2 linked regions of the Oryctolagus cuniculus genome follow. The main gene of each other region encodes a partner of the protein of the gene in region 2 in a complex. Links are inferred from orthologs where the notes say so. Each region holds a gene or a part of one and is shown on either strand. Other genes may lie near its edges.

Evidence for each region.
Region 1: the proteins of ITGB7 (region 2) and ITGAE are in contact, whole or in part, in a cryo-EM structure (PDB 8ZJF), measured with the Homo sapiens proteins. The link is inferred for Oryctolagus cuniculus from reciprocal best matches to the Homo sapiens genes ITGB7 and ITGAE. Residues at the interface, in NP_000880.1 of Homo sapiens: Val201, Leu202, Pro203, Ser206, Thr207, Val208, Pro209, Ser210, Lys211, Arg213, His214, Cys216, Pro217, Arg219, Leu220, Glu221, Arg222, Leu255, Asp256, Ser257, Pro258, Thr291, Phe292, His293, Thr294, Ala295, Gly296, Asp297, Lys299, Leu300; in NP_002199.3 of Homo sapiens: Phe36, Leu38, Arg91, His92, Arg93, Gly94, Leu111, Arg113, Leu118, Ser119, Ser120, Leu122, Glu196, Glu198, Arg230, Tyr233, Glu234, Phe237, Glu238, Cys239, Asn240, Ser259, Gln260, Val262, Met263, Leu266, Arg300, Leu401, Gln403, Phe406.

What each region holds. Positions count from the first base shown.
Region 1 is NC_091448.1:49,068,037-49,074,136, forward strand, and holds the start of ITGAE (integrin alpha-E), read right to left. Parts: upstream 4,105-6,100; 5' UTR 3,979-4,104; coding exon 3,945-3,978; intron 1-3,944. UniProt on the Homo sapiens protein: Integrin alpha-E/beta-7 is a receptor for E-cadherin. It mediates adhesion of intra-epithelial T-lymphocytes to epithelial cell monolayers.
Region 2 is NC_091442.1:56,212,920-56,217,750, forward strand, and holds the end of ITGB7 (integrin beta-7), read right to left. Parts: intron 4,550-4,831; coding exon 4,403-4,549; intron 4,119-4,402; coding exon 3,925-4,118; intron 3,656-3,924; coding exon 3,432-3,655; intron 3,265-3,431; coding exon 3,045-3,264; intron 2,932-3,044; coding exon 2,723-2,931; intron 2,475-2,722; coding exon 2,314-2,474; intron 2,147-2,313; coding exon 2,066-2,146; 3' UTR 1,408-2,065; downstream 1-1,407. UniProt on the Homo sapiens protein: Integrin ITGA4/ITGB7 (alpha-4/beta-7) (Peyer patches-specific homing receptor LPAM-1) is an adhesion molecule that mediates lymphocyte migration and homing to gut-associated lymphoid tissue (GALT).

The sequences.
Region 1 (6,100 bases), on a different chromosome or scaffold from region 2:
CGTGAGCGTCCCAACTGGTGACTTTTAACCACTAGGCCCAACACCCACCCCACCCTGGGCATTTTACTTCTTCATGTTTTAAATGCTACTTTTTAAATTTATTTTTTTTAAAAGATTTATTTTTATCTGAAAGAGTTGGTGGGGGGATCTCCTGTCTGCTGGTTTACTTCCCAGATGGCCATAATGGCCAGCATTGGGCTAGGCCGAAGCCAGGAGCCAGGAGCTTCTTCTGGGTCTCCCAGCTGGGTGCAGGGGTCCAAGCGCTTGGGTCACTTTCCTCTGCTTTTCCAGACCATTAGCAGGGAGCTGGATGGGAAGTGGAGCAGCCGGGACTTGAACAGCCGCCCATATGGGATGCCAGGGCTGCAGGCGGAGCTTAACCTACTACACCACAGCGCCAGCCCCTGCCCTGGGCATTTTCGATGCACACTGTCACAGTACAGTAGGTCATCACTGGACGCTGAGGTCCGGGGGCACAGTCCCTATGAGGAATTGTGCGAGCAGCGGGCTACGGAAGACTCAGGCACCCCGAGGCCTGCCCCAGAGCACCCAGCAGGGCCTGACAGGGGGTGCCTCCCGGGACCCACCTGCAGAGCACCAGCCCTCCAGGGAAGCAGCGCGCTGGCCCCGCCTCTTTTTCTCGGAGCCTCATCACCTCAACCTAAGCTGCCCCCTCCCTTCCGTCCACCTCAGGGAGACAACGGCCTAGGGCACTGCTTTCCATGCCCAGTGTTTCTCTGGGCGGCCCCACCTCCTCGGCAATCTGTGGACTGGACCACAGCAGCAGCCTCTGCACTGGCCTCCGCCTTCCATACGACACACAGGTTGGCGGTCACTATGCTGCTCAAGGCCATCTGGCGCTTCCCGGTGCCCTCCCGCTGAAGTCCAAGCCCCCTCAGCCTGGCACTCTGGGTCCTCCCCATTCCTCACCCCTGTACCGAGGCACTCCCAGGCCGGGCTACCCATGTGCCCCCCAGTACACACTACACATGCCATCCATCTCATCCCCTCACTCAGCGCACACCCACCCCATGTGCACCACACACAGCCACACCCCACGTACCCCCTACACACCCTATACACCCCACACCCGTACACATCTCACACACCTCATATATCCGCACCCCGTACTTCTCATCCATACCCCATATGTATCACACACACCCCATATACCCTCTATACCTCATGCACACCCCAACACAACCCACCCCTAGATCCTATACACACCGTAAACCCACACACCCCATCCACAGCACTCAGGACCCACACACATCATACCCGCCCTGCACAAGCCAAGCTAGCACAGACTGGAGCTCCCACAGGGCCTGCCCCCTGCCACGCCCCGGTTCTCCCATGAACACTGCCCCTCTTGGACACTTCACGTTTGCTTGGGCTCCCTTCTGCCTGAATACCCTCCCCCCACCACCATGTTGAGACCCACAGACATCTGTAATGGCCTCTCTTGCAGGGGCTCAAGGGGTCAGAACGTGTGTGTGTGTGTGTGTGCGCGCACACATGCATCACACTGGGACCCCCAGACAGGGCCACTGCCCTCCGCTCTGGTCTGACTTTGGGGGAGGAGCTGGGGCCTGCTGATGCTGCTGCCTCACCCCAGCCTCACCCCTCCCCCCCTCCAAAGCCAGACTCCTCACTCCCAGGCCTTTGTCTACACTGTTTCCCTAGACAGGAAGCCCCTTTTCTCCACTGTGCCCCATCCTTGGGGCCCAATTCACACGCCATGATGACCGCCATCAGTTTTTTTTGTTTTGTTTTTTTGTTTTTTGACAGGCAGAGTGGACAGTGAGAGAGAGAGACAGAGAGAAAGGTCTTCCTTTGCCGTTGCGGCCGGCGCACCACGCTGATCCGATGGCAGGAGCCAGGTGCTTCTCCTGGTCTCCCATGGGGTGCAGGGCCCAAGGACTTGGGCCATCCTCCACTGCACTCCCTGGCCACAGCAGAGAGCTGGCCTGGAAGAGGGGCAACCAGGACAGAATCCGGCACCCCGACCGGGACTAGAACCCGGTGTGCCGGCACTGCAAGGCGGAGGATTAGCCTAGTGAGCCGCGGCGCCGGCCCGCCATCAGTTAAGTTCTTCATTCATGCCCCACACATGCTGCCTTCCCATCGCCCCGGCAGGGCCCCGAGCCTCGGCCTGAGTTGGTATCAGCAGAGCAGGCCCTGGACTTTTGGTTCCTTCTTCTTCACCCCTGTAAGGACACGGGCAGACAGCCCAGTTCCCTGTTTGCACGGTGAGGGATGTTGCCCCGGGGTGCTGAGACCCAGGATGGAGAAGTGAGTGGCTGTGGACACAGAATGAGTCGGGGGTGGGGCTGACCTGAGGACAGCAGGCCGTGAGGCCGCGCCCCTCTGCACCTGCACTCTCCCTAAAACCTCCCTGGGCCGTTGTTCGGTCATGGCCAGGGAGGGCGGCTGGGGGACATGGAAGGTGAGGAGCAGGCCAGGCCAGGGACAGCCGTGGGCCGTCTCCAGCCGAGGCAGGCCCAGGTCCTGGGGCTGCAGTCTGAGAGGTTCTTCCTGCCTTCCCTGCTACCTCCCTGCCACTCAGACTCTCCAGCCCTCAAGACGGCTCCAGCGTCATCTCTTGCAGGGAGCTCTCCAGCACTGGGCCCTTGCTCAGGGTGGAACTGCCACAGCATCGCTTCCCCCAGCGGGGCTCAGGGCACCTTCAGGACGGGGCTCTTGATGACGCCTCCCCCACCTGGCCCTGCTGCCTCGCAGCTCGGGCCTCACAGGGGTCTGGTAAATGTCACCCACTAGAAAAGGCACTGCGGTGAGGGACAGCTGTCCCGGGGCCCCCAGGCAGGACAGGGGCCTGGGCCTGAGCCCCTCTGCTGGCACCTGCTCGTGGCCCTGGAGTCACTGCCCTTCTCTGGCTGTCTCCTCTGCATGGGAGAGGGACGCCAGGGCCCACCCTAAGCCCCTTCTCTGGCATTTGTGTGTCAGGGTCCTAAGCCCCAGAGACAGCGTGAGGCCCTCTCCACACTCTGTGTAACTGACAATAAAGACAGCTCGGCGTTGTAAAGGAAGTTCAACAGAACTTCGATCTTTCCATAACAACTATTTTGTTGGTTTTGAAATATCAATTATTAATGTCTCTCCCCAAACGCACACTCTGCCGGGGCCCCGTGCAGGCTTGGGTCTCTCTCGGTGACCTGCCATGGACTCAGCTCATCCAGACACTGGGGCCCACTGGCCAGCCCCAGCTTGCTTTCAGGGAGAGTGCAGGCTCCCAAAAGCCCTTAAGCTACACATGCTCACGTCCATCTAACTCCCCTGCCAAGCTCCTGACGGAGGCAGGAGACCCCAGAAGTCTCCCCAGACCACTAGGCAGGACCACACTGGCCTCAGGCCTGATCCCAGCCACCTCCAAGGGTTCACCTGACCGTGCCATGTCCTTCCTGGGACCTTGTGGGCAGGCTCCCGGCTTGGCTCACCCATAATGTTCCATGGGCGGCTCAACACACAGAACAGGACCCCCAGGCAGAAGTGCCTCCCTTCCACCCACACCCGGGTTTTCACACGAACCCTGACAACAAGAACAGGATGCTGGCTCCCCCCAAGGCGCAGATCTCAACGCCCACCCTACCCACTCACAGGGGCCTCGCCCTCAGTGGCTGAGCCCCGCTCAGTAAGAGAAGGGAGCTCTGCAGGTGGAACAGGCACCATCAGCCTCCACACGCTGAGAACGATCCGACTTCACAACCTGCCCGGAGTGGATGCCAAGGAGAGAGGGGGCTGACTCCGACCAGACCCCCACCAGACCCTGGGGAACAGGGCAGCAGAACCCTGAGCCGTCCGTCAGCAGTCAACACAGCCATAGCAGCCCTTCCCCTTCCCCAGGGAAGCTCCCCTCACTGATCCTGGCTAGACAGACAGACGTGGGGCCGAGCAGCCTCCAGAGGCAGGAGGCGAAGCCGACTTACCGGCCGTGCAGAGCAGAGAGAGGAACAGCCACATCCCGGCTGGAGCGGAGGCAGCTGCGTGCAGACCGAGCCAGGAGCTGCAGAGGAGCCTCAGCTTCCCCTCGTCGGTTTAGGAGGCCAGGAGGCGGGGACAGAGACCAGCAGGCACCCACGGGCAGGCAGGCACTCTCGAGTAGGCACGTTTCTGCTTGTACACCGCCAGCCACGTGGCTTTCTCAGTAGTTGTGGGCTGGTTCCTGGGAGCTTAGAGCCAGCAGTGGGTTCTGCTCCATCACCCACACTTGGACCTACACCCCTGTGGAACGGTGAGCTGAGTGGCAGACGGTGGCCGTGCAGGGGCAATACCAACTCAGCCCATCGTGTCATCCAAGAGTCCCAGTCCCCTGCCCTGCCCCAGGACCACCGCCGGCCACCCTGGCCCAGCTCCCAGCCCAGGGTCCTTGGTGGCAGGGAGACAGGGATCCCGTTCTTCTAGGAACTTCCCCCACCCCGGGCCAGAAACTGGGCTCCTGTACCTGCCTGTGCACTCAAGGCCCTGAGATTATGGAAGGCCAGGAAAGCAGAAAGAACCAAAGCCCTGGCTGGAATCAATGTCTCAGTTCCACGCTGGCTGGATCCTCTTTAAACTCTGGCTACAGCACCCTGGTGCAACCCCTGATTTAACAGAGCCCTGAGCTGCTCAAGTAACAGAAGGGGTGATGTTCCTGCGATCTCACTGCACACCTCTGACCCACCCCAGCCACCAGAGACCGCAGGGCTGACCGCCTGCAGTCCTGTGTGAGGGCCTGCAGGTCTCCTCCTGCACCTCCGCTTCCGGGTTGTTGGGAAGTGCAGGGGGCTGCTCTCCATCTGCACTCTCCAACACAAAGACATCAGTCCCATGTGGCTACTGAGCCCTTGGTAAATCGCCAGTGCAGAGAACTGGACTTTAATCAGGTTCTCTCTCACATGAACATCTACAGCTCCAGGAAGAGCAGTTTTTAGAAATTTATTTTTCTGAAAGGGCAGGAGGGAAGGGTGAGATCTTCTTCCATCCAATGGTTCACTCCCCAAATAACTGAAACAGCTGGGGCCGGACCAGGCTGAGCTGGGGGCCCAGAACTTCAACCCAGGTCTCCCATGTGGGTGGCAGGGACCCAGCCATCATGTGCTGCCTCCCAGGGTGCACATTAGCAAGAAGCTACTCTGCTGGGCACCCTGCCCCAGGGGTGCACTTTGAAATGCGTTAAATAAAGGTAAGAGTGGTGTTGACTGAATGACTAGATGAAAATCAATTTTATCTTCTCACATTGAAAGCTTGCTCGGCCACAGTTCTGTGGAGATCTGATGACACTTTCAAACATTTTTGCATGGCCTGCTTTGGTCTCACCAAAACACCCATGACAAAATCTTAACGTGGCTATTGGGGCAGAAATGACAATTCACCATGTTCCCCTACGGCATACCATCCAGAAAGCGAGTTCGGGTCTGACTTTGCCCCCAGAGCACAGTGCAGGCGTGCACACCTGCTCAGCCTTGTTGCAGGCTATCTTCCTCCACTCCAGGGCTCCGTGACTCTCCTGCCCCCCTCAGCTCATTTTGAGTCCCAAGGACACTAGACCTGGAGGGGGAGGGGAGAAGCCCAAAGTCATAGAGTAGGTCCTCGGAAGGGCAGAGCTGGACGCTGGACTGAGGAGCAGGACTTCGTGCTGAGAGTGTGGACTTGGGGGCACCTCAGCGGGCAAATTCTCCATCTCTGTAGACGTCCAGAACAGACTCATCCTGCATCCATCGAAGATGTATTCGCCCAAGCTTGTCAGTGCCTCTAATCACGAGAACACACAGGGGCCCTTTAAGCCCAACGGACAGTAACTGCTTGCCCCCAACACCCAAACTTCAGGCCCCAAGGTCAGGGCCAGGCTGTGTTGTGTGACGCTCCTCGCTCGCAGCACCTAGGACACAGCTAGGTGTTCACAAATACACACCCTAACCAAGCAAACCTCAAGGCGCCTCCTAACACATCGCAAACACCAAGGGACCCACTTGACAGCCGTTCTATAGCATAAACTTGACTCTTCAAAAACCACATGAAAGGCTCAGGAACCACGCCAGACAAGGCTACAGAACAGATGCTCCCTAAAGGCAGCGCCTGGCCCTGGCCAGACCCCAGACCAGAA
Region 2 (4,831 bases):
GGAGGGCTGTCTTAGACAGAATCGTGGAGACTGAGAGAAGCTGCACGCAGGCTGGGGGCGTAGGCCATGTGCAGCAGCCTCCTGCATGCATGGGGGGCAAGGGCGCAGTGGCCCCGACACCTGGCTGCTACCTATTCCAGGAGGGCTGCACCCTCTGAGGTGCGAGTGTCAGGGGAAAAGGAGATGAGGCGCCCTTTAGACTTCCTCCTTGGGGAGGCGCTGGGCAGTGTGTTCTGGGCCCAGCTCAGGCCTGCGTTGTGGGCCCTGCACCCAGGGCATCTCTCTCTCCCTGTTAGGTTTTTCTGCCACTCCTAGGAAGGCTGCATTTAGAAATTGCCCTCCAAAAGTGCTTTTGAAAATAGGAGGTCTCACTCCCTGCCACTTGGAGTGCCACTGTTTGGGGGGGAGGGGTGTGAGGAGCAACATGGGGGTGACCTATGACCCCATGTGTGCATAGGTGTGCTCGATCAGAATGTGCCCTGGCCCCTGCAGGCCTTGGCTCCCTGCCCAACTGGGTGGGTAGGAGGGAGGGGACTTGTGCCTGCACATGGCTGTGCCAGAGCTCCTCCGCCCTGGCTTGGGAGTGGGGGAGCCTCACAGCAGGAGGGCAGTTTGGTTGCTGGCATGCAAATGTCCTGGGGCAGCAAACATGGGAGAGAGGAGCAGAGGAGTGCCTGGGGCCCAGGAGCCCCACTCACACCCCAGGAAACCCAGACCAAGATGGCAGCACAGGCTCCTGGGCCCAGTGCCTCCCCTTGCCCCTTGGCTGGGGTGAGCCTAGCACTGGAAAGATGCCTCAGGTATGTTTGGGGTGAGGGTAGGTGGAGGCAGGGCAGCTCTCACACCAGGATGTGGAATGGGACCTGGGAGAAAGTGGTGCCAGTCCCTGGGTGGGCTACTGCCCCACGCCCTGCCAGCACCCCTCCCCTCCAGCCACCCCCGCAGCCTCTCGTCATCACTTAGCTACTGACTGTGCCCCATGGCTTGACACTGGAGGATAGGTGAGCAGAGCCCACCTTGACTGTCCCCCTCCCCAGATGCTCTGCCTCTGCTGCCGCCCGGGGGCGTCCCCCTTCCATAGCCCCTCCTACCCCCCCCTTTTTTTTTAATATACTTATTTTGCTATTGGGGAGGGAAATATCAGATGAACAAGATCACTTTTAAATGGTAGTTTTTATAAGATGTTATAAACTTGTATCTTTTTACCATTAAAGTGCAGTGTATGTTCCGTTGTGATATATTTAGGGTATTTAAATAAAAAGGAAGTGAGGCTTTTCTACGTCCTATCTCCTGCTCGGGAAGACTTAGTATCCTGTGGGCAGTGTTCTTCCCTGGAGGCAGAGTGGTTTGAATGTCCCCCTCCCCACCTGAAGGTAACTGCCCCACAACTTCCAGCACTCTATAAACCATTTTTGTAAACGATTTTACTTTGAAAGGTAGGGTGACAAGGGAGACAGAATGGGATCTTCACTATCAAATGGCCACACAGCCAGGACTGGGCCAGACCAAAGCCAGGAGCGTCTTCCAGGTCTCCCACGTGGGTGGCGGGGGCCCAAGGACTCGGGCCATTCGCTGCTGCTTTCCCAGGTATCAGCAGGGCACTGGATTGGAAGTGGAGCAGTGGGGCAAGCAACAGCTGACCCTTCGCACCACAACAGCAGCCCGTATAAGCCACCGGTAAGATTCCCCGCTCTGCAGAGGACCGTGTGGAAGGGAAAGCCGGCCAAGGTAGCGTTCACAGCAGGACAGAACCGGGTGAGCCACCAGCTCCCCAGTGTGGTCTGTGGCCTCCACGGGCCTGCACCACCTGAGCGCTCGGAGCCTGCCCCTGGGCTGAGTTGGCGCTCGGCTGTTTGCCAGGCAGTGTACCCGGTGTTCCCCCCAGGGTCCAGTTTGAGAACCAGCCTGCCCTCAGGTGGCAAGAGGAGTGGCCCACTTTGGCCTCTGGCGCAGAGGGCAGGTGACGGCTGTGGTGTGAGATGAGTCTCTGTACTGTAGAGTGCGAGGCAGGGAATCCAGGCGGCAGCCGCTGACGGGGCGCGTTGGCCCCTACCTGGCTGCTGCCTCAGAGAAGAGGCCTCTCGGGCTCCTGGAAGCGCGGGTTGATGGTGGTCGTGACGGCACTTCTGTAGAGAGGGTTGTTGTCCTGAGGGGAGAGGCCCAGGGGTGAGGGCAAGTCCAGGTGCCCTTGCCCCTCACCTAGTCCTAGGAGGCCACCCTGGAACAGGAGCAGGATCCTAGGAGCTCGTGGGGGTGGAGAGGGAGAAGGACCCACCCGGGCACTGCAGCCCAGGTAGCGGGCCACCGCCTCACCTGATTCCAGTTGAGTTGCTGCCGCTCCTTCTCGAAGCGATTGAACTCCCGGCGGTCATAGATCTCCACCGACAGCCGATAAGCCAGGACCAGCACCAGTCCCACCGCCACGATGCCCCCTACGCAGCCCAGCACGATGGTCTTTGTGTGGTCCGCGCCCCCTGTGAGAAAAACAGGACAGATGAACCAGCCTCCCTGGCCGGGCCATGTCCCACTGAAAGCAGAGGAAACAGCAGGGCCTGAGCTTGTCCTCACTGCCCAGGGCCTGGGCCTGCTCCACTGGCTTCCCCCATCCCGCCCTGCCCTTGCACTTGCGGCCAGAAGCCTGAGCCCCCACCTGATGAACGAGACCCCACCTGATGAACGCGGGGCTCCACTTGCCAGGTGCACAACCCCTTTGCCCACTTACCCTCTAGGGGGCTAACTCGAAGCACGACGCTGCCCCCAGCCTCGTGCTCCACCAGGAAGAAGAACAACTGGTTGTCCAGGGTCCTGTCTTTGCACCAGCCATCGTCCAAGATGGGAGCCAAAGCCAGCGTCACATTGGCATGGGCACAAGCCGTGCTGCAGTTGGAGGCCAGGGGACCAGTCCCGAAGGCCCCGCACTCCGCACAGTCCCTGTCCGTGGAGGCCAATGCATTAACGTTCACCGCGGGCGGGCAGGCAGGAGGGGTTCAGCAGGCTCTGTCAGCCCCCCTTCCACTCCCAAGATGCAAGCCCCTGGGCCTCACCTGTGTCTCTCACACGGTGTCTTGCAGCCTGGGCATTGGTCACACAGAGCGCCGTAGTAGCCGTCCAAGCACTGGCAACGGTTGCATTTGCAGTGACCGTGCCCACTGCAGAGTCCTCCCTCAGGACCAACACAGTTGTCCGTGTCCCTGCTGCACTCACACGCTCTGCCCGTGCGGTTGGCATGGCAGTAACACACGCCACACTGACAGCGGCCAAAACCTGGGGTAGAGGCACAGGCAGGGTGGCAGATGCACTCCCCCACGCAGGCCATGCACCCCGTCCCTCTCCAGCCTCCAAACTTGCTTGGCTCAGTGGTGTGACACCCAGAGTCTGAATGCCCCTGGGGGAGACCACGCTGCCCCTGCCCATCTCAAGGCTCCAGTTACCTCCACAGAGGATGCCCTCATGCCGCTCACAGCTGGCATCGTCACACTCGCACAGACGCCCGGAGCTCTGTCCACTGCAGCTGCAGCGCCCACACTGGCACTGTCCCTTCCCGCTGCACAGGGGCCCTGTCCCATTGGGGGCCCGGCACCCAGCTTCCAGATCAAGAGACGAGAGCTCAGCCTCCGAGCACTCACAGAGCCGGCCCAGGCGGCCGGCTGCGCACCTGGGAGGCGAAGGTGGAGGAAAGAGGCGGCTTAGAGGGCTTAACCGTCCCTGCCCATCTCTTGCGCGATCTTCCAAACCCAAGTTCTCAAGAGAGTGCGGGAGAGGAGTTAGTACAGTGAGCGCCAAGGGGCAAGAAAGAGATGCCTGGGCGGATCTGCACAGCTCCAGGGCGTGACATATGACTCCAGGGGGAGGATGGGAGCCAGGGTTGGTCCCTGGAGGTTGGGGGTGGAGAGCCGGGTGGTGAAGGGAAGAGGAGGCCCTCACCGGCACACCCCGCATTGCAGGTCCCCCTGGCCATGGCTGCAGTGTGGAGCCTGGGGCTGGGTGTCGCTGCAGTTACAGTCACACAGCGTGTGCAGCTCCACAGTCAGCTCCTCCGAGAAGCCGAGGGCCCGGAGCCTCAGCAGGTGGGGCTCCTGGAGGCAGGCAGTAGCTTGCAAGGTAACCCAGAAATTCACCTGAAGGCAGAGTGGGCAGGAGTTCAGGCCACGTCACACACGCACTCACCCCAGGCCCACTAACCGCCCAGAACCCAACCCCTTTGTAGGCCAAGGACTAGTCTGCTAACACCATGCCCTGGATACCCACTTTGAAGGAGCCATGCATTAAAGCTCAGGACGGATGGGGGGCTGGCGACCCCACGCTCCCACCCTGTTCTCAGTGCCTGCTCCCCGTCTTTTCCTGCCTGCATTCCACGCCCACTCCCCACACCTCCCCGGTGCCCAGCCTGGCTGGCTCTCACCGTCTGGTTGATTTGGACTTTGTTGCACTGCCCTCGGTGCCCAGCCTCGCCCTCCCTCTCCTTGGAACCCCCACACTGGGATTCATAAGAGATGTGGACTCCAGGAGGGAGGGACGAGTGCTCCAGGGTCACAGTGGATGACAGGCTCTGCCAGAAGAGAGGGAGCAACAGCTTGAAGTGGGGACCCCAGCCCCAACCTAACGCCCTGCCCCGCTGGTCCCAATTCTGCCATAGCGCTGCCTGCCGTGTTCCAGCGCCTCTTCCATTCCACCTAGTCCATAGGTGTTTGTGGAGGCAGTGCTCACCAGGCCTCTAACACACCACAATGCACCTGCCAGCAGACGTGTGCAGGGCAGGGGCCGCCCCGGTGTTGTAACCAACAGTGCAAGCAGTTATCTGTCGAACCCCAGATCCATGTGCGTGCACAGG